Linked DNA regions of Caenorhabditis elegans. The protein of the gene in region 2 purifies or fractionates together with the protein of the main gene of each other region. This does not show direct contact. Each region holds a gene or a part of one and is shown on either strand. Other genes may lie near its edges. The genes, in order: npp-3, gfrp-1, erfa-1 and ZK353.9.

Region 1 (7,694 bases), on a different chromosome or scaffold from region 2:
TATTGTCGCGGGCACTTTCCAGAGTGAGAGCCGAACAGATGAATGGAGATGTTGTCAATTTCTCGATAATATTTGAAGATCGCATGAAGCAGAGCACTGGTTTAGAGAATGGGCACGTGATCGAGACAAGTCTTTGCTGAAATAATTTTATAATTTTTTATTGAATACATTTAGAAACAGACCATCAGCCGGAATGCAGGCTCTAGTAGCGCTGAGAAAGGTAAATCGAATGGTTTCTTCGACATCACAAATTGCTCGATAATATACAGAACATAGTGAAGACCGGTGAGCACGTCGTCCGCTTGATACAGCTCCTTGGTATGGGCTTTTGATGGTCGGAATGCGAGAAGGTAGTAGCAAATATTGTTGGTATCAGTCAGACGATTTCCGGTTCTTGTTACTTGGCAATCGATGGCGTCCGAAAGAGTTTCGATGAGAATTCGAGCGGTTTCTCCTCTCGCGAAATGTGGATTATCTGTGTCTTCTTCTGAAATATAGATAATAATTTAAAATTCAAGATTATTTATATATATTATTTAAAATTTCAAACCTTTCGCCAATGAATCATCAATCGTATACTGAATCGACGTAGCGCAGATCGCCGCTCGAACCGCCCGAACATGAGATGCAGCCGAGTTTCTGGATCTTAACAACTCGAGCATCTTCACCTCGGCAGCTCCACGTGTAGCCATCACGTCTCGAAGAATTCTGGCAGCGTAGAGAGAGTGTACCGGGTAGTCATCAGTCATATGAAGGTAATGGAAGACGAGATCAAGAGGTGTGCAAGCGGAGGCTGAGATGATTGGTGAGAAGACGAGGGATGGAATGGAAGCGATCATAATATCACTGGATGAGACACGGGCACACGCACGAAGAGCCGGATGCAGAATTATTGCTCCTGGAAAAAAAATAATTAGGCCTGAATATTATTACATGTAATGTTACAGCATTTGAAGACGGTGTACAGGCTAAAAATGCCAAAATTTAGGGAAACATTCGATAATTCTAGCTAAAATCTTCAGTTTTGACTTATTTTCCGTGCTGCAGGAATCGAAAACAGACATTTACTCGATTATTGTCTTATTTTTACGCACTTGATGCGTTTTACTCACGCTTTTAGTTGATTTAAAGCTTCAAATCAACGAGAAAGTGTAAGATAAACGGCAAAAATAAGCAAAATAGAACACTCATTGAATAAAAATAAGTATCAAAATTGTGGATTTTAGCTGAAATTACGCCATTTTTCAACATTTTGAATCGCAATAAAAAAATTTCGAGCCATTTTTTTAAAGTTCCATCATGAAATTCGATATATTTGAGGCCTGAAACTCACGTGATAAAATTCGCAGTGCAATCAAAGCTGCATCGGATGATGGAGACTGCCGTGTGACGTACGGATCATTGTGAGCTTGACAATCCTCCATAATAACCCGCGTGATCTGAAATTCGATTTTTTTTTTTAAATAAAATTCAATAAATTCTGTGACTTACAGCTCTGTACATCGGCGTATCATTGAGGCACTGCGTCAAAATGGCAATATGAACTTCGTTCGATGCCACGGCTCTCGGCTCGACGATTCCGTGCTCGAGAAGTGCGTTGGTGGCTCGGAGCGACCACTCGGCGAGCTCCCACATTTGAACAACGCTATTATAGCTGCGTGTGGAGAAATGTGCCAAAATACTTCTGGTGACGAATTGGATGAATGGTGTAGCGTATTCCGGTAGAGATCTGTGCATCAGAAGGGTCGTCATCAATTTCACAAAAGCTAACGACACATCATATTGCTTCGCGACACATTCTCGTTCCTCGAGCTCCTGCTGGATTCCCATTAGTGTTCCACCATCCGAAGAATAGCACAATTGATTCAGATGAATTGCTTGCCAAATTCTCGGTGCGGATCCTTTGAGCCGTGCCACTGCCGTCAGCAAATCAAGCATCGATGCTTTCATAGATAGCGGTACTGGAGAAGTGGAGAGCGATGCGACAACAGAACACAACGTCCATGAAGGATCATCCGAGAATCGCATAGCGGCTCGTTCATTCAATTGAGCAACTTTTGTAGCCATATGGATCCAGGCTACTAGTCCGCTGAGCTCTTGAGCTGGGATGGTGATTTTGTCGCCTGGACGAAGTGTGAGATTGAGGCTTTGTTGTTGGTGGAAGCTGGTGCTCATACTCATTGTCTGACTTTGATTGTGACGAGAATTCGACGCATACTTCTGCTCCCGGTACAAACGATCGTAGCCTTTGAGTGCTGAAGCCAGAGATTCCCATCCATATGAATCTGGTCCACAATGTTCTTTGGAGAAGATGTCATAAAGTAGAGCAGCTGTGTTCTCATTTTTGCATACAGCAGCGCACATTTCCAGATAAGCAACTGAATGAACAACATGATGGTTTGGAAGACGAGCACGTTCCAGGAGCCGGCAGAGCTCAATCGATCTCTCCGTACTAAAAGCCATGCTGTTCTCTTCGATTTGCTCCTGAAGCTCTCGTTCGCGTGCTGTTCTCGCATTCTTCTGATGTGCATAGTCGGTCACTTGCATCTCGTATAAATCCACAAAGCATCGAAGGAAGTTCTCATATTGTGATAGAGCCGAATCATAGTTGTTCGATGGATCTGTAGAGCTCAGTTGAGCTGTAACTTTGTCCGTTATGTGGACTGTTTGGCTTTTCGGATCCGGTTTTTGAGTCGTTGATTGTTCCTTTTTCTGATCATCCAGGAAGTTCAGCTCGTCTGTAGAATTTCTTTCAGTCTCCATAAGCTTCGCGGGGAAATATGAAATCAGCTGTTTCAGAAGCTCATCAATAATCATAAACTGATGGGCATAACGGAAGTGTTCCGACTTGATGATCGCTTGTCGCAAGTAATGAAAAGCCATATTCCGGATAGATCGATCGATGACTCTTTCCACGTCCACCTTGATATTCTCGATCCCTAGATGATCTGATGGCGATGAGGCAATCGATTTCAGAGCAACAGCGCATGCTAGCTGTAGAGTTCCGCACATTGCTTGATCCGACCAGTCTGTTTCATTCCGAATGTGGGCGATCATGTTTGTGAGCACTTGTTGAGCATCGTGAACTGTAAACTCTCAAACAGATTTGTAACTGGATTTTTGGGTATAGGCATGAAGATGGAGTAGCGAGAATTGCTTTAGAAAATCGAAAATATTCTCGAATACAGAAAAACCACAAAAGAAAAACAGAAAAATCGCTACTCCATCTTCAAATATTACCTTGAGACAACACTTCACTCGATGTGATTTTAACGAGAGAAATCCAGGCTGTCAAGCTACTACAACTGAGCTTCTCCGGTGGAACTGCCTTTACAATTTGGAATAAATGATTTGAAATCGAAACTGCGTTTCCTCCCGGAATCTCACAGATCATCGAAATGCAACCAATTACTTCACTTCGAATCTCCTCAATGGCATTTCTGACCTGAAATTAATTTTATGAAAGAATTCCAAAATTATAATCAATTCGGTACCAATTTCTGATGTTTAGAGCCTCCTAAACCGTTGACATCTGGAGATTGAAGTCGTGCAAATTCTGATTGAACGGTGAAATTGATTAGTTGTTCTGAAAATTGGAAAAAAAAATTAGTAATATTTATGATAATATAATTTTTTGAAAACCCACGAAAAAGGTTTTTGATCACGTCCTCGTTGATGAATGTGCTATTGAGGAACTTGCTGATACGTTGAGGAATATCCTCTCGGTCCCATTTTAGCATTTGGCGCATTGTTGCGATTAGGAGCCTGTGCGCATCATAGTAGCAAACGACAGCGATTAATCCTCTGTTGAGGCCTTCGAAATGTATTTTTTGAGCTTCTCCGGCCAAAATCAAATCCACAGCTTCCAGCTCATTTAATTGAAAGATATCCGACAAAATGAGTGCTTCCGAACAGATTTCCTCGTCTAGCGCAACTTCCACTCCTGCCATTTCCACATTTCCTGGCTTCAGCTTTTCCCGATCTTTACCCGTTCGTCTCTTCAATTAGAAAGGTTTATTACACTAACATCAGTCGGAAAACATACCGGATTCAAAAGAATATTGCTCAATCGCCATCTGTATTTCTCGATTTCGTTGAACAGCTCGTTTATTTTTCGGTCGTCATCGAAAGCTGTGAAGGAGACGATGAGTTCGTAAAATTTACGAATCTCAATCCACATTTTGAGCTCTCTAAAATAAATAAAACATTATTTAGAACAAAAAGTTACTTTTTTTGAATTTTTTCGCAAAAAAATTACACAACTTCTATCTCGCAATGCATTTCCGTAAGAGACGCAGACACAAAAACTAAATTTCGTATTTCGAGGCTACAACTACGGTAACACTCGTTTCAGCTGTGTATTTTTCGCGCGTTCGCTGCGAGACCCGACGCTCTTAGGCCGCCAATTTCGAATCGGACGCTCATTTTGGCGCGCTCAGTTGTTTTTTTGTGCGCTCTCTAGCCGGCTGTCTTGCATCGATTCAGTGTTCAGTGTCCAGTGATGTCCACTGGTGTGCTAGTTCTTTTTCTCTTCACTCATTTTTCTTCGCATCCTCAAGTTTATTGAATATTCACCGCGTTTCTTTCTCTCTTTCTCCCGATCGTCCTAAAATTAAATGTCATCTTTTTCCAGATCTCTAACAATGAGCGACTCTGATAGTGAATTCTCTATCGAAGATTCACCCAAGAAGAAAACCGCACCAAAGAAGGAGAAGGCGTCACCGAAGAAAAAGAAAGATGATGGTTGGTTAATTTGTAGAGTTTCTTGAATCTAATTTGCTTCTTTTCAGCCAACGAGTCGATGGTTATGACTGAAGAGGACCGCAATGTGTTCACGTCGATCGACAAAAAAGGTGGTGGCTCGAAACAAATGGCGATCGAGGATATCTACCAAAAGAAGTCCCAACTCGAGCACATTCTTCTTCGCCCGGACACCTACATCGGTTCGGTCGAGCATACCGAGAAGACGCCGATGTGGGTCTACAACATGGAGGAGAGCAAGCTGGAGCAGCGTGACATCTCATACGTGCCGGGACTCTACAAGATTTATGATGAAATTCTTGTGAATGCCGCTGACAACAAACAGAGAGATCCGAAGATGAACACAATCAAGATCACCATCAATAAGTAAGTTTAGACCGTAGCATAAAGGAATTTAATTTAATTTTGCTTTCTTTCAGGGAGAAAAATGAGATCTCTGTCTACAACAATGGCAAAGGAATCCCAGTCACTCAGCACAAAGTGGAGAAAGTCTACGTCCCAGAGCTGATTTTTGGAACTCTTCTAACATCTTCTAACTACAATGACGATGAGAAGAAAGTGACGGGAGGACGCAACGGATATGGAGCAAAGCTTTGCAACATCTTCTCCACAAAATTCACTCTGGAGACGTCTTCACGGGATTACAAAAGTGCATTCAAGCAAACGTGGATCAAAAACATGACGCGTGATGAGGAGCCGAAGATTGTTAAGAGCACCGACGAAGACTTCACGAAGATCACATTCTCGCCGGATCTGGCAAAGTTCAAGATGAAGGAGCTGGACGATGACATCTGCCATTTGATGGCTCGGCGTGCGTATGATGTGGCTGGATCCAGTAAAGGAGTCGCCGTGTTCCTCAATGGAAAACGAATTCCAATCAAAGGATTCGAGGACTACGTCCAAATGTACACTTCGCAGTTCAACAATGAAGGAGAACCCCTCAAGATCGCATACGAGCAAGTTGGAGATCGTTGGCAAGTCGCCTTGGCTCTTTCGGAAAAAGGCTTCCAACAAGTGTCATTTGTCAACAGTATTGCTACCACAAAAGGAGGACGGCACGTGGACTACGTGGCTGATCAGATGGTCGCCAAGTTCATCGACTCGATCAAGCGGAAGCTCACAAAGACGTCGATGAATATCAAGCCATTCCAGGTAAATTTCGTCGAATTTAAAATATTTACCGCCAATGATGACTCAAAATAGCTATATGAACTCTTTGGTGACTCGATAATAAGAGAAATCTGAAAATTTTCAAGGTTTTTCTAGAGATTTCACCGATTCTTTTGAAGTATCGGTGCACCAAGTGAAAAATAAAATTGCGACGCTTTAGTGACGCTGGAGAAAGTTTTTATCCAGTGTCTAAAGGCGCGGCGCAACATTTTTAAACTTTCCGATGATTTGTGATTACTAAAAGGCGAATCTGAGGCGAGGAATTGCTAATGCGAATTCAAATCTAATAAATTTTCCAAATATTCAATTTTATATCAAAATTTTCAGATCAAAAATCACATGTGGGTTTTTGTGAATTGCTTGATCGAAAATCCGACATTCGACTCCCAGACGAAAGAGACTATGACCCTGCAGCAGAAGCAGTTCGGATCGACCTGCGTCCTCAGCGAGAAGTTCTCCAAAGCGGCTTCAAGTGTTGGAATCACCGATGCTGTTATGAGTTGGGTTCGCTTCAAACAAATGGACGACCTCAACAAAAAGTGCTCCAAGACGAAGACTTCCAAGCTGAAGGTAACAATTCATCTAATTCGTGGCCTTGTTTTAATTAATATTTATTTCAGGGCATTCCAAAGCTTGAAGATGCCAACGACGCTGGAACCAAAAATTCCCAACAATGCACATTAATTCTGACGGAGGGAGACTCGGCCAAAACGCTTGCTGTTTCGGGACTTTCAGTCGTTGGACGCGACAAATATGGAGTATTCCCACTTCGAGGAAAATTGCTAAATGTCCGAGAAGGAAATATGAAACAAATCGCCGATAATGCTGAGGTCAATGCCATGATCAAAATTCTGGGACTCCAATACAAGAAGAAGTACGAGACAGAAGATGACTTCAAGACTCTTCGATACGGTAAACTGATGGTCATGGCTGATCAGGATCAAGACGGTTCACACATCAAAGGACTCGTGATCAATTTCATCCATCACTTCTGGCCTTCTCTCATTCAGCGGAACTTCGTAGAAGAATTCATCACTCCAATTGTCAAAGCCACCAAAGGAAAAGAAGAAGTTTCCTTCTATTCGCTCCCAGAATATTCTGAGTGGAGAATGAATACGGATAACTGGAAGTCGTACAAGATCAAGTACTACAAGGGATTGGGTACATCGACTTCTAAGGAAGCTAAGGAATACTTCTTGGACATGGTTCGTCATCGTATCCGCTTCAAGTACAATGGAGCTGATGATGATAACGCTGTCGACATGGCTTTCTCGAAGAAGAAGATTGAAGAGAGAAAAGACTGGCTCTCGAAGTGGATGCGGGAGAAGAAGGACCGAAAGCAGCAGGGACTTGCTGAAGAATATCTCTACAACAAGGACACTCGATTCGTCACCTTCAAAGATTTCGTCAATCGTGAATTGGTCCTCTTCTCGAATCTCGACAACGAGCGTTCAATTCCATGCCTTGTGGATGGTTTCAAGCCAGGACAGCGGAAGGTTCTCTTCGCGTGCTTCAAGAGAGCAGACAAGCGTGAAGTCAAAGTAGCTCAATTGGCTGGAGCTGTCGCTGAAATTTCTGCTTACCATCACGGAGAACAGTCGCTTATGGGAACAATTGTGAATCTCGCTCAAGATTACGTTGGCTCCAACAACATCAACCTGCTTCTTCCAATCGGACAGTTTGGTACTCGTCTCCAAGGTGGAAAGGACAGTGCTTCAGCTCGTTACATCTTCACTCAACTGTCGCCAGTCACTCGTACACTC
Region 2 (6,926 bases):
TCATGATATTCGGTCATTGTGGTACCATAGTCATGTTTTAAAGCATTTTTCCCACTGAGCGTAGTTCACCTTTAAAAGAATTTTCAGCGTTTTTTTTTTTGCAAAATAGTTTTCTCATTTCTTCGCTTTAAATTACAAAAATGCGTAAATCTCTATTTTTCCAATAAAATTCTGTAAAAAATCACATTTTCCTAGAAAAAATCCCCAATTTTTTGCAGATATGTGCTCATTTCGCTAATTCTGAAAGGAAAAGTGGACGTGACGGAAAACGGTGACAAATCAGCGATTCGTCACTTCAAAACCAAAAGTCCTGAATACAAACAATTCTCAGAGATTCGGTTCTCCCGAAGTTCGAATACCCATTCAGCAGTGGAGAGTCTTGTGAAATCGGCAAAAGATCGTTTGAGAAAAGACGGAAATACAGAAATTGCCAAATATTTGGTCGTTGAAATGAAGAAAAAGACAATTATGTCGCTGACAAGAATGTTCACATCAATTCGGATTTCTGAAATTGAGGAGTTGGCATTTTTGAAGTCACGGGATCAAGTTACAGAGCTTATTGGTCAATTGGTTGAGGAGCAGAGGATTACTGTACGAATTGATGGAGATATGGTCTTTTGGACTGAATTGAGCCCTGTTCCATCTAAAAATGATGTTGAGAATAAGATTAGAATGTGGGTAAAATTGAAAGAAAATTGAATCTTTGGCGAAAATTTGATCCAAATCACCGAGAAATTGTAGTTTTGAAGGATATTTTGAGAGAAAATAATATGAGAAATCTGATAGAATTACTCGAAAAATGACGATTTTTTTTATTTTTAAAAAATCGGCATTTTGCCGATTTGCCGGAAATTTTCATTTCCAACAAATTGCCGGTTTGCCGATTTGCCGAAAATTGAAAACCATGTAAATTTTATTCGAAAATTCATATGGAACCACCAGAAAAATTCCATTTTTTGAAACAATCCTGATAGAAATTCCGGAGAAATAAATTTTTTTCGGCAATTTCAGAAAATTTTTCAATTTCCAATTAATTTAGGAAAATATTACCAAAAATTTGCAAAAAAATCGAAAATTGGAAAATTACATTTATATTTAAAAAAAAACGCGATTTTCTGAACATTTGGTTTTTCAGTAAAATCTTAATAAAACCAATTAAAAAAGAATTTAACAAAAAATTCGGAAAACAATTTCTAAAAATTCACACTTTTATGGGAAAAAAATTATTAAAAAATTTTAATTTTTCCGAAATATGCAGTAAAAATCGGTTGAAATGAAACGCTCATATTATTGCAAAAATTCTGCGAAAAAAAAGTAATTTCTGTTGATTTTCTGACAGATTTCCTTTTTAACCTCTATTTCTTCCAAGAACATTGTAAAATGTAGTAAATCTAATTTTTCTATCTGAAAAAAATTGTGCGATTTCTAAAAAAAAAGCTGGAAATTTGACGGAAAACTTTGAAAAAATACAGCAAATTCGATTTTTTAATAAAATTGTCTGCCAAATCTGAAAGAAACGCTCGGAAAAATCCAAAATTGCCTAGTTTCATTTTTATGAAAATACTTCTTTTTTAAATCGCGTTTTTTTTTTCAACTAAAAAGTTTAATTTTCCCAAAGGAAAAAATCTGAAAATTCTGATTTTTTTTTCAAAAAAATTCCCCAAAAACCGTATAATTTTCCAGCGTCGATCACCTGAACACTCTTCTTCACGAGAAAAACACTACTATGAAAGCCGGTTCAGGACGTATGAGACCATCAGTTATGTACAATGAGGATGAAGGATTGAGCATGCCACCAACTGAATCTAAATTTTTCTCCTAAATTTCACACATTTTCTCATTCATTTATTTCCGGGTTTTTGTCCCTTTTTTTTTCGACGTTTTCGACATCAAAATATTCATTTTTCTCATTATTCCCGAAAACATCATTTGTTCTGATCACTGCAAAATGAACATATTTTATATTTAATTTGCACGATAATTATCGGATTTTTCAAATGGTTCTGGCCGAAATTTTACTTTTTATTCTGCTTTTTACAGTTAAAATTTTGTGCATTTTTCGGGAATTTAAGGAATTGTTTAAATTTCACAAAAATGTTTAAAGTCAAAGTTTTAACCATTTTGTGGGCGTGTCCTGGGCAAAATTTATTTTATATTTCAAATATTATTTTTAAAATACGGTGCCAGGTGTCAGAAAAGCTTTTGAAGGCTTTTCTTTTTTTTTCAAATATCACCCAGAAATTCATGATTCAGTATACCGACATTAATTTGTGCATACAGTGTATTTTTTGTACACTTTTACGACTTTAAAGGAGGGTGGATTTATTCGAAATGGTCTCGTCACGTGCCATTCTTTAATTTTTGAAGCGCGTGGTGGGACCATTTCGAATAAATGCGCCCTCCTTTAAAGTCGTAGAAGTGTACAAAAAATACACTGTGTAATGGGGTTAGTCAAGTAATGTGTCAACATGTATTTAGATACATTTATGACGTCACAGATGTATTAAAATACATGTTTTAATGTACAGCTGTGACGTCATTTTTCTACACTTAAAAAAACAATTTTCGACATTACTTGAATAACCCAATATGATTAGAAAAAAATCTAGTGTTCAAAAAAACTAGCGATATCTTTTTTTTTATATTACGGAAGCACAAAATTCTGAGAACGCGTATTGAACAACATATTTGACGCGGAAAATATCCCGTAGCGAAAACTACAGTAACTCTTTGAATGACTGCTGTAGCGCTTGTGTAGATTTACGGGCTCGATTTTCAAAATGAATTAAAACAATTTATTTATCGATGGAATATTTATTAAGATTAAGCAAAAAACGAGAAAATAATACAGATTCATCTTAAGAATCAAATGAAATAAATTTATCCCGTAAATCGACACAAGCGCTACAGTAGTCATTTGAAGAATTACTGTAGTTTTTGCTATACGCATTCTCAGAATTTTGTGTTTCCGTAATAACAGTATTCCTAGGTATCCAAGAATTTCGAACAACAGGTCCTATTACCATAATTGTACCACATCCTGTATTTTATTATTTCAATTTCATTTTCTCAATTTCATCTTATCATCCATATCTCTCCGTCTTTCTTCTCAATTTTTATCGTTATTTGTCAACCTTCTGACCCCTCCACCCGACGACGTCTCTTCTGACAAATCGAGACAAAAACCTGCTTCTTCTACTTCGTTCTCTCTTGTCTACTTGTCTATCGATTGAACCTTATTCCGCAACAAAAAAATCAAGAAATGCCGTATATTCTAATTTCTACACAAATCCGAATGGAGTGTGGTCCAACTATGGTCGGCGACGGAGAAAGTGACCCGAAACTGATGGGAACACTGGAGGCGAAGCTCACCAAGCAGTTGGGAAATGAGTTTCAGGTGTGTTCTGAGGAAATTGTGGAATTTTTAGCTGAAAATTCGGTTTTTCCATCCAAAATTCCACTGAAAATGTGAATTTTCTAGCTGAAAATTCCACTGTGAATTCGGTTTTTCTAGCCAAAATTTCACCAGAAATTCGCCTTTTCTAGCCGAAGTTCCACTGGAAATGTGCATTTTCTGGCTGAAATTCCTATGAAGATCGAGATTTCCTAGCTGGAAAATCCACTGAAAAATCGCCTTTCCTAGCCGAAATTCCTCTGAAAATGTGGATTTTCTGGCTGAAATTCCTATAAATATTGATAATTTCTAGCTGAAAGTTCACTGGAAATTCGCCTTTTCTAGCTGAAAATTCCACTGAACTTGTAGATTATCTAGCTGAACTTTCCACAAAAAAATCAGCTTTTGTAGCTGAAATTTCACTGGAAATTCACCTTTTCTAGTCGAAATTCCACTGAAAATGTAATTTTTCAATCTGGAAATTCGACATTCTCTGTTGCATATAACACTGCAAATTTAGTTTTTCTACCTGAGAAACTCTGAGAAAGGTCTCACGAAAATTTGCGATTTTATTTTTAAAAAAATATCCGCTCAAAAATCAGGAATTTCGATTCTGAAATCGGAAAGTGCTGGATTCTTCTGAAATCTTGATTTCTGAAAATTCTCTGCGAGTTTCCATGAAAATTCGGAATTTTTAAGAGAAATTTACTTACTAAGTTACATTAAATAGTGTGTTTTACCTAAAATTTCCTGATTGTGAGCAAGGGTGTCAATGTCCCGTAAAAATTTAAAAAAACGGGACAACGGGACGTCCCGTTCCCGTGATAATTTTAAAAACGGGACAAACGGGACACGGGACTTGACACCCTTGATTGTGAGCGATTTTTTCTGCAAAGCCTCCACGAAAAATTGTAGGAATACATAACAAAATGGTCGCCACGAAAAGTGCTCAACCAATTGGAAAAAGAGGGATGGACAGTGGTCGCTATGGCTGGAATCGGACAAACTTGTGCTTGGACTTTATATAAATGTGACGACGAAAAAGAAGAAAATGGAATGAATTTTTGATTCGTCGCTGTTTTTTTGGCTCCCGTTTTATAAATTTTTCTCCTGATAAACTATGATTTTCCTCATTCTCCCCTACTATTTAAAGGAATTTTTAAAGGGATTTTTGACACCTGGCACCCCAAATTAACGCATATCAGAATTAATTTCGATTTTTTACAGAATTTTAAATCTACTATATTATTCTGCAGATGGGAGCAAGCTAGCTGTTTTTAAGAAATGGTGAGGCTTTACAGCTTTTTTTTACAAAAAAATCTTTAAAAAAAATAAGAAAAAAAGAGCCTAATGGGGCTATTCAAATAGTATTGGAAAATTGAAAGTGTAGAAAAATGATTGTTTAAAAATAACATTCTTCTTTATTGAAACTTTTAAACAAAGTCTCAAAAACTGCAAAATGACGTCACAGATGTATTAAAATACATCTTCACACATGTTTTTTAATACAGTTGTGTCGTCATAAATGTATCTATACCATAACCCATATACCATGTTGTTGTTGTTGTTGTGCAAATTCAAAAATCCGTAGTCCAGGTTTTTCATTTAGGGGAGGTTCCGTTTCCTCCGGGGTCAAAGGGGTCGTGGAGAGGCCCTTCATATTCCATATTAGAGGTGGGCGGCGAAATGTACAGAAATATAGAAAAATATCTTATTTGTTTAAAAATAACATTCTTCTTTATTGAAACTTTTAAACATAGTCTCAAAAACTGCCTGAAAATTTCCATTTGCCGAAAGAATTCGCAGAACTTTTTTCGGCGAATTTTTCTGACAAATGCTAACTTTCACCCATTTCCGCACTCTTTCTCTAGTTTTTCAATTTTTTTTAGAAATGCATGTTCTTTTCAAACGAATAAGATATTTTTCTATATTTCTACATTTATTTTTATTTTTTAAAGTTGAGTTATCATATCGAATGGGCCGTTTTGTAGATTCGCCTCCCATCCCTATACCATATACTATGACCTATAACCAAAATGGTGTTTTTTCGGTTTTTTTCTTTAAAAAATTCAAATTCATATTAAATGGGTATTAACAAACAAATACAGGCTAAAAACATTTATTATTCAAATTTTTTAAAAATAAAAAATTGCCGGAAATTATAGATTTGCTATGTTTCTGGAAAAAATGACTAACATATTAAGATTTTTTTCAATTGTCGGAAAATCGAATACACTTTAAAAGGCTTTATTAAGAATGAGAAATTCTTCAAATTAAATAAAAAATTATTTAGAAAAGTGAAAAATTTTCCGGTTTTTTTTTAATTGTTTCAAATATTAACGGTACAGAGAGTGTAGATAGTTAGAGAGTGACAGACATCCGGGACCCAATGAAGCGGGGCGCGCGGAAGAGACGATTTGTGTCGATTTACGAAATTTTCCTCGTTGTCATCATTTCGTAAATCGACACAGATCGTCTCTTCCGCGCGCCCCGCCCCATTGGGTCCCGGATGTCTGTCACTCTCTAACTATCTACACTCTCTGTACCGGTAATACTATATTTTTCGATGTTCTCTTAAGAAACGGGGTTTTCTTTTAAATTTCATAAGTTTTTCACTGATTTTCAGAAAAAAAAATTATATTGCAGGTTCAATCATCAACTCTAGTAAAAGTGGCGGCCGGTGTATTCGTAATGGGCTCAACGGGACTCTATTTGGCTCAAAAATCAGTTCAATGGAAGGTTAGAGCATTGCCACACTACAACGAAAGCCTCAAAATTGTTATGGAACATCCGAAAGCATTGGTGAGCACTCCCCCTCATCTTCGGGCTCCGCGAGAGAGCTCTAATTAGGATTTCTGTCGTCGCTTTCTTATTCTTTTCCTACTGCCGTCTCCCCGCACAAATATCGATTTTTCCTCAATTTTACCTTTTTAGGAAGCAATTGGAGCACCGATCTCAATTGGAAGTGTCGAATTATCGGATAGACTTCATAATTATGTGGATAAAACTACTAGTAGGGTTGGTTTTTTGGAATTTTTCAAAAAAAATTGCCAATTTTGGTAGGAAATAGTGTTATGTTTTGTTTGCAAAAAAAAACTTTTTTGTTCATTTTTTCCGTTTTTACAAAAATTTTAAATTCAAAATATCTTTTAAAAAGTTATTTTTTCGAAATCTAACTGAGTTTTCAATAAAATTTTTAAATTTTAAATAAACTTTTAGAAAAAAAACAATTTCAGAAATTGAAAAATCTTTTTTTTTTTAAATTTAAATTTAAATTAACTTTTCGCGTTTTTGAGTAAGTTTGAAACTTTAAGTCTAGAAAAATCAGGAAATTAATGTGAAAAATGTATTTTTAAAGAAAAAAATTCAAATTTCCACCAAAATTTGAAATTTTTGAGGAAAAAATTGTAAAAAAAACTTTTTTAAAAAATTTAATTTGAAAAATGTGTATTTTTCAAGAAAAAACGTTCATGTTTCATTAGAAAAAATGCAGAACTCGAAATTTCATTGAAAAAATGTTTTTTTTTTTTTG
Region 3 (7,668 bases), on a different chromosome or scaffold from region 2:
CTTTTTAATTTGTCCCACTCACATCTCTCTTAAGATGACCGCTCTCTCATAGTGCTGACAAAATCTGGCTCCTAACGAACTGGTAGTTTGATTCTTAGCTTTTGAAATGCATCGTCTTCTTTTCAAAATTGGAATATGTTAGAAAAAGGTTTACTATTGTAGTCAAATACATGAACATTGAGAATGGCGATGAAACTAATTAATAACACAGAAAGTAGTTGGGGATCCTGATTGATCTAGAAGAGAAGACGATTTGCTGGGTCGTATTCGAGCTTCTCAAGGTTCGGAATGCAAGCAAAGTTGATCATTGGTGGTGGTCCGCACAAGAGAACAGCAGAATCATCGCCAGGTGGGAAGAGGTTTTCCTGAAAATAAATTATACAATTTCAGAAAACATGTTTCAGCTTTTTTTCTCACCTTGATCATGCTGTCATTGATGAATCCAGAGGAATAGCTCCACATCACTGGTGGTCTATCGACTGTATACCATACACGGAAACGAGTTGGATGCTCCTTTGCAAGATCGTCAAGTTCCTGTCTGCACAGAATATCGTCCTCAGTCTGATTTGCAAACAAAAGTCTGATCTGAGTGGTGTCAGTTGGATCACGAAGAATGGCAGCAATGACTTGAAGCATTGGTGTGATTCCGGTTCCTCCAGCAATCATGGAAAGATGCTTGAAAACTCGATTCTTCGGCTCGGCCTTCTTATCGGCTTTGATGCTGAACAATCCGTGACCTTTGTAAACAATATTTCCTTGTGGCCCGCGGAAATTGATCTAAAAATTCGAATTCAACAAAAAAACTCGAAGGTAATGTGAAAATATATTACCGTGTCTCCAATCTTGAGGCTCTCCAAATGTTGACTCATTTTTCCACCTTCTGGGAATTTCTCATTTGTGTTCTTGAAGTAAACCTTCACCATCAAATCAACGAATCCTAGATCTTCATCGCTGGATACTGGAGTATATGGGCGAACGATAATCTTTCCATCAATCTGAAATGTTAATATTTATGATGAATGAAGGATCTGGAAAGTTCACATTTGCGGTGAGGTAAACGTGTTGGCCGATTGGAAGCCCAAGAATATGATCCTTCGATGGTAATCCGAATCGGAATTTTCTCGTGTCATGACTGATCTCGAACTTTTCAATCAACGGAAGTGGATACTTGACAGAATCATCGACAAGAGTTCGTTTCTTGCTCTGAACAAAAAAAATTATTAAAATAACCGCGAAAAACAAAAAAAAATCAAATTTACCTTTTTACAAAGTGAGAAGGGGCATGTATTTGTTGCTTTCAAATAAATGTAGATAGCAATACTCGAAACTACGACCACTCCTCCTGTGATTATGAGAGTGTTATTCTCCACCATTTCTGAATAGATGAATTTATTAACAAATTGCAGTTGAATAATTTCAATTTAAAAAAAAGGCGACCGTTTCGATGCGCCCACTCTCCCAGTAGTTCTTTCTCATTTTCACGTTTTTCTTGCGTTATCAATCAATACCTGATAAGAAAATCTCTCGCCATTCTATTCGGAAAACTGTACTTTACCACAAAGTCACAATTCTGATGTATAAGGAAAATTGAACCGTTACAACTTTTACAAATAATTGTTATTTTATAAATGCTTTATTTTTAACCAACATATTTATCAGTTACAGTCACCGATAATACAAAATTGATTCAACCACATACTAATTTGAATTAAGAAAAATAAAATAATGGTTTAATTCTAGGTATTTCCAAAACAAACTTTAGAAAACCTAGAAAAACCCATAAATTTGACAATTAAAAGTCATTGGAATTGCGAGTAGAAACATCCACCGAAGGAAGCGAAAGGGTTGAAGTCATCGAGTGTGAGTGTGTCGCCCGTGCCTCTACCTGAAAAAAAAACTTGTTTCAAATAAAGTTTACGACTACAACTTTAGTTGTAGCGTGAAAACCTAGTTAATTTAACAACAACAACAAAAAATATCACGATCAATATTAGATATTTTTAAAAGAATCATGATAAATCAGCTCACCTTTGTCCGGTTGAACAAGCCGCCAATAGCATCTTCGTTCCGGGCGTGGAACGTTTCTTTTTCAGTATGCTGGCAGACGTGAGATGCCTTGCCAGCTGAGCTAAAAGCATCAACAGACCAAACGAAACGACAGTAGTGAGGGACACGGGGCGCAAACTCGATGAAATGGAATAGAAACTTAGAATAAAGTGTGGTATGGGATATAGCAATTAATGATGATGATGATTGAGAAAGGGAAATATTATAATTTGACAATGCTGGATAATTTATGAAGAGATTGATAAAGAAAAAAGAGGATACAAGCTTAAATAACAAAAGAAACGAGTATGGCGCCCAATGGCTCACTACTGCCGCCCGTGATCAATAGTCATCAAGGTCAATGTTGTCGAGCTCGTCTTCAAGGTCTACATGAGCCAAGTCAACGCGATAACGGAGCAATCCTCCGATACCTCCGAATCCTCGAACAAACTGGGCTCCTTCTTGCGACTTATCTGTGACGATTTCCAAAGCTGCTCCGAAGTTCTACAAAACATTAATAAAAAATTAAATTTCGATAAAGCGAGCGCCCACCTTGTAGTTATTAGCAAACCATTCCAAAAGTGGCATAGTCTCAATAATTTCCATATCTTGTCCAGTTTCACTGTCGGTGAAATGAGATTTGTCCTTCTCCTCGTCAGGTCTCAGATTCAGAAGAATGTCCTCTCCGAGTGAATTTTTCATCTTGTACCGAACAATATCCAAATTCTCCCAGCAGATGAGAGTTTCAATAGCTCCCATTTCAAGTGCGGCAAGAGTGTCTTTAACTCCGAAAACGTATTTTCCAGTGTCTTGGCTGATTTCATCGAAATATCCACCAATCAGTTTCTTTTCCTGAATGAACTTAACACTTGCCAGCGTATCGGCAGCAAGTTCAATAGCTTGGTTGAAACCATTTTCACCACCATAAGCAATATCGACAGTCTTGATCATCTTGGCTTGAAGTCTTTGATCAAACATATCAGATTGTCCCAACTCTGTCTTGAAATCTGCACTACCAGCAAGAATAAGTCCAGCAACTGTAACCTTGTCGTTCTTGATAAATTGTTCCACCGAATTTTCAGCTACTTTACGGACGTAATTGTGCCGCTTCTCATTACGGAGACGAGCAAAACGGACAGCAGATTGACCTCCTCTACCGTGCTTCTTTGGAAGATCGACAGTGAACTTGTGCAGAACTTCACGAGTGTTTCCTTGGAGTGTTCCGAACAGACAACCGTTTCCATCCATAATGATAAATCCGAACTTGTTATCGTCAGCAAGAAGACCTGAAAAATGGTATATTTTATGATGCATGATGAAAATTAGAAATACCTTGAAGAGCTTCGGTGTGAAATTTGTTGTCGCAGAGATACAATGAAGTATTGATTGCTTTGAATGGCTCAAAATCAATGTTAACTTTCTTTTCCTTTCCTTCGTCGGTCATGATTGTTCCACAGTAAACGACCAATCCATTTGGTGGGACTTTGTTGTAGAGTTTCAATCTTCCCTGTACTGATGTGATAGCTCCCAAAACGGAAAGTCTGTTGACACGAGACTTGATGTTAGATGCCGTTCCGTACTCTTCGGCCAACATTCTCTGGATTCTAGCCACTTGATCTTTTGGTGGAATGATCAGCGAAATCATAGAAGTTCCATTTCTGTAAAAAAACAAATGTAAAATAAACGCTTCACGAAAATAGTTACCCTCTGGCTAATTCCAAACTTTTGATGAGCCGTTTAATTTTCCACATTTCGACATTTCTATCGGCGGCGTCATCGCCTCCGGCGGTAGCACCTGCTGCGGGAGCGCTCATATTCTATTTGTGCTGCACGTCACCGATTACCTGTAATTGTATTATATAAAACACGAAAAGAGAGTTAAAGTAATTAATTCGGGGAAGAAACTCAAAAATGCGAAAAAAAAGATATTTATAGAGAACTGGTTATTCTACATTGCACAGAGTTGTGATGGAAAATTAGAATATTGTGCAACATGTTGCAATGGTTTCAATTTGATTTTTTTAGAAGAAAATGTATTTCGTTTTCTCTGAGCAATGACAAAATGATGAATAAAACATTTCTGAACAATTTAAACTGCAAAAATCGATAATTGATGACGCGTAAAAACTTTAAAAACTGAAAATGGGAAAAGAATTTAAATGGTGCCAAGGAACACGAATACGGTTTGTGGAAGGGTCTCGGCGCGAAGTAATGTCCGATTGTCCACACTTTCTCCGCGGCCTAGTCTCCGAAACAAGTCAGCCACGTCCTCAATGTTCGAAATTCGAAAACATTTTTCAGCTTTCATCAGAACTCCAGGACTGTTTCCAGAATTTATTAGTTTTTTTCGCCAAAATATTATATATGTACCACGGCAGTTCATTATATTGGTTGTATTACACGTTTCTTTTCGTTATTAACTCTTTTTTTCCCGTTACCGCCTAATAGATGAAAACGAATTTCAATAATTCTTTCAGATCACCACAATGGATGATAATACGGCTCCAAAAAAGAATTCTGAAAAGAAGGCACGCGTCTTTGACCTCCAAGCAATGTTCGCGCAAACGATAAGCAATGCTCCCAGAACTGAGGAACCAACTCACGTTCCGCAGTCGGTATCGGTGTCTTCTAAATCAGAATCTGGTGTTTCTTCTTCAGCTGTATCTGATGATGAAGATGGTAAGCCGAATATAATGTTTTAATTATTTCAAATTTGTTTTTTCCAGATTTCATGCCAGATCTACCTCCAGGATTCCAAATGCAACAGTCTGAAGCGGGCCCCTCCTCGTCTCGAGCTGAAGGTCCCGAAGATAGTGATGATAGCGATTTTGACGAGACAGAAGCAATCTCCATCATCAAACTGATTCCAGCTGCATGTGAAGCGAAGATCAGCCATGGCACTCAAGCCATCAGTGCACTTCGGGTTGAGCCTCCTGGTGTTCGGTTTGCCAGTGGAGGGCTTGACTATTACGTGAAGCTGTTCGATTTTCAAAAAATGGACATGTCAATGAGATACGACAAAGAGCTTCTGCCTGCAGAAAGTCACGTTATCAATTCCCTGGCATTCTCTCCGAACGGCGAAACTCTTGTAGTAGCTAGTGGAGAAGCTATCATTCGCCTACTGGATCGAGCAGGAAAACAATGGTCTGAAACAGTTCGTGGAGATCAGTATATTATTGATTTAAACATCACTAAAGGACACACAGCAACAGTTAACTGTGTCGAATTCAATCCACTAAACAAGAACGAGTTTATCTCTTGTTCTGATGATGGAAGTCTACGACTATGGAACCTCGATGATCATAAAGTAATCACCAAATGCATCAACAAGCACAGGAAAGTCATCAAAACAAAAGGAGCTAATGGAAAACGTGTCAGCCCGCAAGTTTGCACGTTTTCTCCTGACGGAAAATGGATTGCCGCCGGTTGTGATGACGGATCTGTTCAAGCATGGAAGTATGGATCGCAATATGTAAGTTGAAGTTCAAAAACACTGTTTATTCTCATATTTTAATTTTAGGTCAATGTAAATTACCTTGTACGCAAAGCTCACAACGGCTCGATTACTTCTATTGCTTTTTCGCCCGATTCAAAGAGATTACTGTCTAGAGGTTTTGATGACACTCTGAAGATGTGGAGCTTAGATAACCCAAAAGAGCCGCTTCTTGTGAAAACCGGTCTCGAAAACGCTTTCAAAAGGTATCCTTCTATTAAAAACTTCACCATAAGTATATTTTTTGTAGTACTGATTGCGGATTCTCCCCTCGTGCCGAGGTTGTCTTCACTGGTACATCGTCACCCAACAAGGATACACCTGGAACATTACAATTCTTTGATCCAATGACATTTGATCTTGTCTATAAAATTGATTACCCTGGAATTTCGTGCCACCGAATTCAGTGGCACCCGCGATTGAATCAAATTATCGCTGGACTCTCGGATGGCACCATTCACGTGTACTACGATCAAACGATGTCACAGCGAGGAGTTATGTCATGTGTGACGAAGCCACTCAAAAGAAATCGCGCATCTGAAGTTGTTCGAGAAGATATGGTTCTTTCTCGTAAGTTAAACAATTTTTTTCGAAAAATATTTATCTTCATATTTCAGCTCTTTCCCTCGAAATGTTCCAACCGCGCGGAGAGGAAGGAGAAGAAAAGGAAGTCACTGGATGGAGAATCAAGAAGTATCTCCGAATGCAGGATAACAAGCTTCGTCCCGAGTTCCGGAAGCCTGCAGATATGCCTATCAACGGAAAGAGCGCAAATGGACGTGTGGCTGCAAGTGGTGGAAGTCTTCATTCGTATTTGGCAAAGCAAATCGGAACTGCTCGTAATGCCGAGTTCCTAAAAGATACCGATGTTCGTGCAAGCATCCTGAAACATGCTAAAGACGCCGAAGAGAATCCATTGTACATTGATAAAGCGTATCGAAAGACACAGCCAAAGAAGATTTTCCAAGAAACTGCAGTCGAGCCAGAAGATCAAGATGACGAAGAGCTACAGCCTGTCTTCAAAATGCCGAGAACGAAGTAGTCGTTGCATTAATTTTTTGTTTTTCATCTGTCTGTCTCCCTCTTGTAATATTGTTTTCCTATTTTTTTCTCTATTTTTTGTGTCCCAATAAATATAGAGTCAATGATCACATGATGTTGGAGAAATTGTGTGTTCGCCATAGTCATTGTCTTGTCCAAATATCTAACGCTAGCTACACTCTAGCATGCTGCTCACTTCTATCTTTCCCATTCTTCCAACTCCCCCCCATTTCAACAATATGTGGTCGTTTGTGTCAGTGTCCGGTGGACGATGGCTACACTTTTGCCGCAAGAATTGTATCCAATCGGGATCAGGTTCACTTTTAAAATTGAACCCGGTTCGGATGTTTCGCTTTTGATCTCCTAATCCAAAAACCTGAAACTGTATTTTTAAAAACGTTTCTATTATGGATTTAATTCCAAAAATTGAGAAAACTATATTTAAAGAAGAAATTATTGACATGGCCTCCATTCCATTTCTTTCTTATCATACATTTTCCCACAACTGATACCATGTGCAGCCTATTCAAAGGGTCACTTTTTGCTGAAGTGTGTAGAACAAACATGCAATCCGAAATTACAGTTCCACAACTGTTTACTCTACAATTTCCTTTTCACATTTTCTTCCTGTTTCAGTGCCGAGAAATTGTAGCTAGTAGCAAACAAAACAACGCCGTGAAATTTCGTCCTTGAAGTTTCCCTTTCCCTCCCGAGAAACATCCAAGTTCTCGACGGTTATATCGATAATTATCTTCTTTTTGGTCGAACTTTCTGTCTGTTAAAATAATGATAGGTTACGGTTGAAAACATAAATCTAACATTTTTTCGAGATTAGACTTGAGATCAATCTATAAAATGAGTCAAGTCGTATGAAGTTTCATCTACATACTTGACCACAAGTTGATCACTGAATTGAACTGCGCCTAGATCTCACACTATACCCGAAAACAATCTCCACCCTCCCAATTAAATAGAAATAGTGACATCATTCAAACCTAACTAACTTTGTAAAATGTCTATTGTTTTTAGATTTGCGTAAATTCTTATACTGAACGTATTTTAATGTTTCAATGAGTTGTATACATCTA
Region 4 (7,797 bases), on a different chromosome or scaffold from region 2:
ATTAGGCATCAAAATAGTTTTTAATTCCCAATTCGTAAAACTCAACTTTTCCAAATGTGTAACTGCTGACATTTGAACACAATTTTTGTATGTGTACACAACTTTGTAGTACTTTGTGAGTCACAAGGGGACTTTACTTCAAATGGAACCCAACGGTAACCTTGAATGATACAAAAGTTCTGATTACAAGGGCACGTTCTGTACAAAAACATATTCCATAACTGTAAATATTTGAATCGTAGTTTTTACTTACTTACTGTGTAATTAGAATAACAGATTATGAAACTATATTAAAAGGAGTTATTTTTAAAAATTATATGAAAAGTCTAATTCGGAAAGATTAAGCTTTTATTTCTGAATAACTGTTGCTATCGAGACTTTTGAAATTCAATGGGTCTACCAATTGCTTGAAACTGTACAATTTATCAAGTGAAATTGTGGTTCATTGATGTTTTCAAAAGATATCATTGTTCAGGATCCATATGAAAAACGCCGGCAAAATATCTCGCCGCGAGTGTATTGTAGGATACGGTAAATTTCGGTAGAATGACGGAAAAAAAGGGATTGTCCAAGCACGAGTGGCTATTTGACTTGAATGGTCTTGGAACACACACAACCGGAGGTTGATAAAGTTTTTCAGACTTTCAGTTCCTTCTACAAAATGAAAAAATTCCGATTCGTTTAGCTAACAGTCTCCACAAATATTTTTCAATCGCAGTAGCCACTTGGGATTTCGGTTGTTCTCGAGTCAGTTCTTGGATATTTAGGGATAATTAGTTTCTCGATGAAAATCTTATCACGAATGTCACATACAACATTTATATGGATCATTTCAAACGGCTGATAGAGAAGTGTCTTTAAGGTTTTTCCGGGATGCATTTGTGTGTGCCTAAGGCCTGAACGCCTAATTGCCTGCCTACTGCCTAGATTCAGAATTTTCGGATGTTAGCACACCCAGTCTCGACACGATAATTTTTTGCGAAAATGCGTGCTTCTTTATTTTTGAGGTTTTCAATGAATTAATATTTCTGATCGAAGAACTAGTAACAATCGATGAAAATTCTGCAACGATGAGAGTTTGAAGTTACAGTACACTTTAAAGGTGCGTATATTATTTTATCAAAATGATGGCGTGTCGAGACCAAGTACAGTATTTTTGGGGCCAACATCGCTACATTTCGATAAACTTAACATGTCTTTTAAAAACTACCGTAACCCAATACGATATTATACAACGATAACGCGTACTTTCTCAACCAAAGAGATAATGACGTGGCATTATTACAGTATACCAAATTCCTATTATGATTCATGCATCCTTTATGTATTGTTTTGTACAATTCTGCCTTTGTTCTGCGTCTCTTCACAATTGACCAATCCTTGTTCATTCCATTGAATTCATTTCGCAACAAAAAATGTATGCTTCTTCCATTTTTTTCACCCTCGCGGCCACCGTCTTTTTAAGTGTAGAGGAGCGCACTTCTGCGTCTCTTCTCCAATAAACACTATTTCAGTTTCCCGCTCACATTCATTCGTTCATAAATATATTGTGAGAGAAAAAAAGAAATGGGAGGAGAGAAGTGTATGTGTGCGTATGTGCCCCCCAGAGGGTTGTCATTTTGTCGTCAAAGGGTTACTGCTGGGCGTTGAAGATTGAAGATGCAGATGCCCGTGGAATGGATTACGGTAGACGGAAGACAATTGAGAGAAATAATTTACTTCAAAGAAGAATTTGAGGGACATACTTTCCGACAAATGTCGTGTATTGTTACAATTTAAACATTTCAATCGAAAATACTGGTAGTCAATATGAAACCACGTGGATTGATTAACACTAACGAATTCACAAGTAATCAATAATTAATTATTTTAGAAAAGTCCCTTGGCAACAGCATCTGGAATCTCGTTTTTATGATCTTTGAGTTGAGCTCTTGATTCGTATGTGGCAATTGCAATCTGAAAATTGGTTTTTTTCCGAGGCGACAAATTAAAATTCTGTAAAAGCCAGATGTGCAATTTTTACACCAAAAATACAGTACTTGGTCTTGACACGACGATTGTTTGTAAAATGTGAAATGGTGTGCGCCTTTGAAGAGTACGGTATTTAAAACTTTCATTTCTTCGACGTTTAAAAAAATGTAAATTTTTTTAAAAAGTTTTTCAATAATAAAAATTTTAAATCCAGAAAAATCAATAAAACTTTCTGCAGTATCTAACAAGATTTAAAAATTACAGTACTCTTTTAAGACGCACATCTTTTCTCCTTTCACAAATTCGTCGTGTCGAGACCCATTGGTGAAAAAATATTTCGCGTCTGGCTAATATTCAAATTTTTCCTTACCCTTTGTCTGAACTCGTGCTGAAATTCTCCACGTAATCCGATATAGTAGATCTTTGTCTCATCTTCTCCAAAGTTTGCATCTACCAAAATCGATAGATTATGAATATTTCCAAACTTTGAAGCTTTCAACGGATAATCCACGAGTCCTTGTGGATCTTGTTTCAAATCAATTTCCTGATCTGCCTCAATACTACAGTCATCAAATGACATTGCCTCTCGATCTTTGAACAATCGAATTTTGGCTGGATGTGATCCATCTTCGTCTCCGATTATCGAGAGACCCGTTAGACGAACGTGTCCGGTGAATGGAATATTGAATAGCAACTCGTGATCGCAATCACTTTCTACGTATTCCAATCTGAAATTTGATTTTTAAGAGTGTATATGTACGTGTATACTTTTCTTTCTCTGGACATTGGGGCATTAGTTGACAGATTAGTTGTTCAGGTTGTTCTATTGACAGATAGAAAGACAGCTGTCAGCAATTTGATACAATAAGTACTTAAGTTTATCTTCATTACGAAAAAGTATTTAGCGAACCTTCAGAATACCTAGTTTAATTTTAAAACTTTAACATTACCATATGACTTATTTGTTTTAAATAATCTAAATTATGTGGCTGCGTGGCGGGTACGGTAGATTACTGTAAGATCGCTGCGAGATGTGATTAAAGCTGAGTCCCATATTACCCGGACGCGAATTTTGAGATTTTTAACAAAATACGGTACACGGTCTCGACACGACTAAATTTTTAATGCGAAAATGTGTGCGTCTTTAAAGAGTTAGAGAGTACTGTAGTTTCGAACGTTCGATATTGCGGATCTTCATAGATTTGTCATAGTTTTTTTCGGTAAATACATTTATATATTTAATAACTCAAATATAAACACATAAATTTGAACAAAACGTGAAATAAAAACTATGTTGATAAAAATTCGACAGAAATGAGCGTTAGTCTACAGTACTCTATAAACTCTACCGTACTCTGTAAATGCGCACATCTTTTCTCATTTGGAAAATAATTGTCGTGTTGAGACCGGGTACCGTATTCTTGTCGCCAAAATTACAAATTTTCACGTCTGGGAATTTAAGTTTATACCAATTTCTGTGAGTAATACTGAAGAGTTGTCAACTTTTTCCGATTAGCCACTATTTCGTAGACATAAATAATTTTCAAAATACTCCCCATTACCACAATACTCTTTAAAATGGAATGTTTTATCGTCGGAATAATCCTATATAAAAATGTAATCCTCATGTACTAGCTAACCTGTCATCTCTTTTTTCCATCACCTTGAAAACCTTCTTTCCGGCGCCGTCGACTGACTCGTTGAGAGTAGTTACCTGAGAGAATTGGTATCAATTTAATTGCTGAATTGAATAATAAAAACGTTGACAGCGGATGGCATTTCTCGCGATGCGTTTTCCTAATTTTGTGAGATTGTAGGGAGAAGTTACAGTTAACGCATTTTAAATTTAATTTTTATTTTAATTTCGAACAAGAATATTTAATTAGTTCTTGAAAAACTATTCCTGTTTTTTTCGATACTCAGAATATTTATATGTTTCATCTTACAATGCATCTTTCAATTATTTATTTATGGGTACGTAGAAAAAAGCCTCTTTGGCATAGAGGTGCAAGCGCGCTCCAACACTAAATAAATACGCTCCGCCCCCAAACATTGGGTCTCGTTAGGTATCTTCGGGAAAACTTTAAATTCGAACGTTTTAAGTGTGTTTTTGCTGATTTCAATCATTTTTGTTTTTTATGTTTACCTTTTCCATGTCAATATAGCTGACCATATCGTAGCGATACACGTCATCACCTGGAACTTCTGGAATGTGCTCTGCGGCACAATTGTGAGAATGACCATGTGAACACATCTGGACAAAAAACTATTTAAACTACTTTTGAATAAATGCCAAGTATCGGTATTTTTCAACCATCAAATATTAAAACACTCTGAAAAAGTTTTTCAGAAAACAATTTTACTGTAATCGATTCAAATGTATCTATTCAAAAGAGGACATGGGTTGATCATGGTGATACAGAAGTATTTGCAGATATTTTGTAATACTGGAGGGATCGAAAGAAAACAAAGAAAGAGAAAATGAGATTTTCTGAGATAGGTATTGAGTCAATTAAATAGCCAACAAACTTCTTTTTTTGAAAATACAAGCAATTTGAGAAGGAAAACAAGATGGGGTTTGTCAAAGGAAACGAATTTAGCCGTATTCAAGATAAAACGATAGTGTGCAGAGAAATAATTAAGAGAATAGCAAAGGAAGAAGCAAAAACATTAACAGTTGACAAGACATACAAAAGAAACATTATGGCGTTTTCAAATTATTATGCATTGGGGTTGACTGGGGCAGGTTGAAATAAGTTACATGCGAGAATAAACTGTAGCGGTTTTGGAAATACCTTCTCTTTTAACATTCTTGAAATCAAAAAGAAGGCAAATCCATTGAAACTACAGAATTATAAATATTACAATAAATTGACTGAACAAAATATTTAAATTAGAAAAAAAAATGTCTACGAGAGAACAGCCGGATGCTCAAAGACAAGATGTTCAGCTGACCGGGCACGCTTTGGAAGCGATGATGATTGAATCTTATCCTCGAAGACACGGCTCAAAGCCTGTAAAATTGTTGAATAAGAAATTGGGAAGAATTTAAAAAGTTTTTTTCAAATGTTGAAACTTTCAGAATTATTTTTTCGAGAATAAACAGCACATTAAAAATCATGTTTCAATCTTATTGCATACAAAGGATATTACTATTTGACAATTTTTCTTTGTTCTTATTTTCTTTTTTTTTATATGTTTTTCGATTTTACACAGAAAAAAAAAACGCAAATTTTCGTATTTTTTCGATTTATATTTTCAAATTTTTTTTTTTAATTTTGACCATTATCGCTCTTTTTTGAAAATAATTTATGTTTTCTTCTCATCAACATAGACATAATTCGATGAAAAATTCATTTTTTCTGTTAATTTTCAGAAAATATTTTTTTCGATTTTTCTATGAAAATTTTTCAATTATTCCAATAGACTAAAATATTAAATTTTGAAAAAAAATTGCAAAAAAAACAGAAAAACATCAGAGACCCCTTTGATCTAAAAATTGACATTTCTTTTTGTTTATGCAACAAAAAAATAATTTTTTTTGGTAATTTTTAACTTTTTCCCCGAAAATCAATTGTCAAAAAGGTTACCTCTAATCTTTGCGCTCTCTCCTTATACAACGGTTGAATTGGTAATTGTAAATCATTTGCAAGTGCCAATGTTCGAAGATCGAAATAATACTTGGCATACACCGACGACGGAACTTCAATATTAAAGTCGAGACATTCCAAAAACCGCCGTTCTAATTCGTTCCTGAAATAATTTAATTACGGGGTTTCTGACCAAATAAAAAAAATACTTACATATCGTCAACATTTGTATCTCGAAGAATTTGGCAATAATCAACATTCCAAACAGCTTGATCATCCCATACTTTTGATGCCAACATGATTGAACCGAGTACAACCCGACGCCAATTTGAAGGACACAAATCCATTTCTGCGTAATTAAGCAATCGTTCGATGTACACCTGAAAAAATGGTTTTCGCGTTTTTATACAAAATTGATAAATTTATTAAAGAAAAGAGAAATGCGTCGGCAGCAGAAAATCAAAATTGGGTAATTCAACTACGATAGCGAAAAGTTAAAATATTACCAGTGCGTGAATTTTTTGCGCTACAAATACAGTACATGGTCTCGACACGATAAATGCGGAAAGGTGTGCGTCTTTAAAGATTACTGTAATTTCAAACTTTGGATCCCCGACATTTTCATAATTTTTTTTCTAATTTTCTCATGATCTGTTAAAATTTATGTAGTTTTTAACAAATCAATATTTTTCATCGGAAAAATACGAAAAATCAATGAAAATTCCGTAGTCGAAAGAATTTGAAATTACCATTTTTTTTCATAGAAAAACTTTGTTTTTTTTCAGAAAAAATCTTTAAAAAAGAAGAATAATGGCCAAAAATTTATAAGTTATTTTTTTTCGAAAATTAGATTTTTTAATGTCGGAAAAACGAAAATTTTAATTTTTCATTAAAATCGAATAACGAAAATTTTTGAACCTTTTTTGGCACAAAAATTGCAAAACGTTGTGTCTTTTTAATATTTTTTCAATAGAACAAGGCGAATCTTCTACACAAATACATTTTTGCCAAATCTCATGATATTCATTTAAAAAGATTTTAACCGAAAAAAAAACTCACCAAAGTAATAATAGCACATTCGGCGGTCAACTGCGCAGAACTAAACAGATTTCTGACAAACCGATAAATATTCCGATGATCAGGATCCCGTGTCATTTGCTCTGGAGGTATAGGATCTCTCTGAAAAATCTTCGAAAAATGTATGGAACTTATGGATTGATTGATAAAACTTACGAAAATCGGATGAAGTCGTTCTTCGAAAATCTCCATTAGTCGCTCGTGTCCACGATTTTTACGATTTGAAATATGATAATATATTGCAAGAGAAATGCATTTTATTGTATTCTTAAGATGAGGTTGACTGACTGTTGAATCATCTAAAATTTGAGAAATCAGAGAATGTTTATGAAATCTTTAATTACCAATATAAATAGTACTGCAGCTGCTTGATTTACGCAGGCTTCTGGGTAAAATTCCGGGATGATGACCACCAGCTGCCAATGCATCCAACATATAACATGAACGACGATTGTCTTTTACTGGAATTGATAAGAATAGATTCAAGGATTAGAAGAAAAAGAATTTTACATTTCATTTCACTTTTACTTCGTTCCATAAATGTTGGCCGAGCTGTTGGATTCGTTGATGGATCTTCCTCGTATCCTTAAAAAATATGAATTTAAAAATATATACTTCAGTGATATAATTACCTTCTGTTACCTCTCGTTCACTTATGTGAGGAAGGAAGTTTGTCGATGTTTCATCACGAGGGAACACTTGATTGACATACTGGAACTGAATTTTAAATTTAGGTTTTTGTAGAAAGAGGTTTTCGAATATTTTTACCTTTAAAATATAATTTTAAATAATCTTGTACTCGTGAAGCTTATTAAAGCCCTTTAAACCAAATTTGTGTAAATAAAAAATATTATTCTCTTCGAAATGTATATTTTCAGAGCTTTATAGTTTTTTTTTAAATTAAAAACAATTATTCCAACAATCGATATCAAAGTTTCCATTTATGCAAACTTTTTCAAAAAATAACTTTGTATACCTCCACTTGATTAGTTCTAATATACTGTCCATCATTATTATACGATTTGTCCTCTCCGCTCGACGACCTCGTTCGCAGACAACACGATGAATTTCCCATCACCTGTAAACAATTATTGGTTTAAATTCAAAGTTTCAAAGACAATGTTACTAATTTCAACTTACGGAACACGTTTAATCTCCA

What was found.
Region 1: the proteins of gfrp-1 (region 2) and npp-3 fractionate together in Caenorhabditis elegans (co-fractionation; one large-scale study listed by BioGRID). This does not show direct contact.
Region 3: the proteins of gfrp-1 (region 2) and erfa-1 fractionate together in Caenorhabditis elegans (co-fractionation; one large-scale study listed by BioGRID). This does not show direct contact.
Region 4: the proteins of gfrp-1 (region 2) and ZK353.9 fractionate together in Caenorhabditis elegans (co-fractionation; one large-scale study listed by BioGRID). This does not show direct contact.

Annotation. Positions count from the first base shown.
Region 1 is NC_003280.10:11,870,514-11,878,207, forward strand, and holds the start of npp-3 (Nuclear Pore complex Protein), read right to left. Parts: upstream 4,276-7,694; 5' UTR 4,181-4,275; coding exon 4,046-4,180; intron 3,999-4,045; coding exon 3,647-3,998; intron 3,587-3,646; coding exon 3,495-3,586; intron 3,446-3,494; coding exon 3,241-3,445; intron 3,087-3,240; coding exon 1,492-3,086; intron 1,440-1,491; coding exon 1,334-1,439; intron 899-1,333; coding exon 551-898; intron 488-550; coding exon 183-487; intron 137-182; coding exon 1-136. Other genes in the region: DNA topoisomerase 2 top-2, read left to right, coding at 4,644-4,743, 4,791-5,127, 5,181-5,913, 6,259-6,501, 6,552-7,694.
Region 2 is NC_003282.8:200,620-207,545, forward strand, and holds gfrp-1 (GTP cyclohydrolase 1 feedback regulatory protein), read left to right. Parts: upstream 1-2,982; 5' UTR 2,983-3,262; coding exon 3,263-3,397; intron 3,398-4,309; coding exon 4,310-4,462; 3' UTR 4,463-4,643; downstream 4,644-6,926. Other genes in the region: csn-3 (COP9 signalosome complex subunit 3), read left to right, coding at 219-674, 1,684-1,822; coa-1 (Cytochrome Oxidase Assembly subunits), read left to right, coding at 4,679-4,681, 6,041-6,196, 6,329-6,412.
Region 3 is NC_003283.11:6,430,352-6,438,019, reverse strand, and holds erfa-1 (Eukaryotic peptide chain release factor subunit 1), read right to left. Parts: upstream 3,891-7,668; 5' UTR 3,861-3,890; coding exon 3,751-3,860; intron 3,705-3,750; coding exon 3,379-3,704; intron 3,333-3,378; coding exon 2,599-3,332; intron 2,551-2,598; coding exon 2,389-2,550; coding exon of another isoform or gene 2,029-2,388; intron 1,886-2,028; coding exon of another isoform or gene 1,793-1,885; 3' UTR 1,622-1,792; downstream 1-1,621. Other genes in the region: hpo-19 (NADH-cytochrome b5 reductase), read right to left, coding at 237-365, 418-777, 831-995, 1,042-1,203, 1,260-1,373; gad-1 (Gastrulation defective protein 1), read left to right, coding at 4,533-4,725, 4,773-5,518, 5,567-5,745, 5,790-6,109, 6,157-6,581. UniProt on the Caenorhabditis elegans protein: Directs the termination of nascent peptide synthesis (translation) in response to the termination codons UAA, UAG and UGA.
Region 4 is NC_003281.10:8,405,924-8,413,720, reverse strand, and holds ZK353.9 (PITH domain-containing protein ZK353.9), read right to left. Parts: upstream 4,226-7,797; coding exon 4,118-4,225; intron 3,686-4,117; coding exon 3,612-3,685; intron 2,700-3,611; coding exon 2,342-2,699; intron 1,957-2,341; coding exon 1,870-1,956; 3' UTR 1,704-1,869; downstream 1-1,703. Other genes in the region: cyy-1 (Cyclin-Y), read right to left, coding at 4,881-4,985, 5,562-5,724, 5,775-5,941, 6,621-6,740, 6,795-6,937, 6,983-7,099, 7,149-7,223, 7,271-7,355 and 1 more.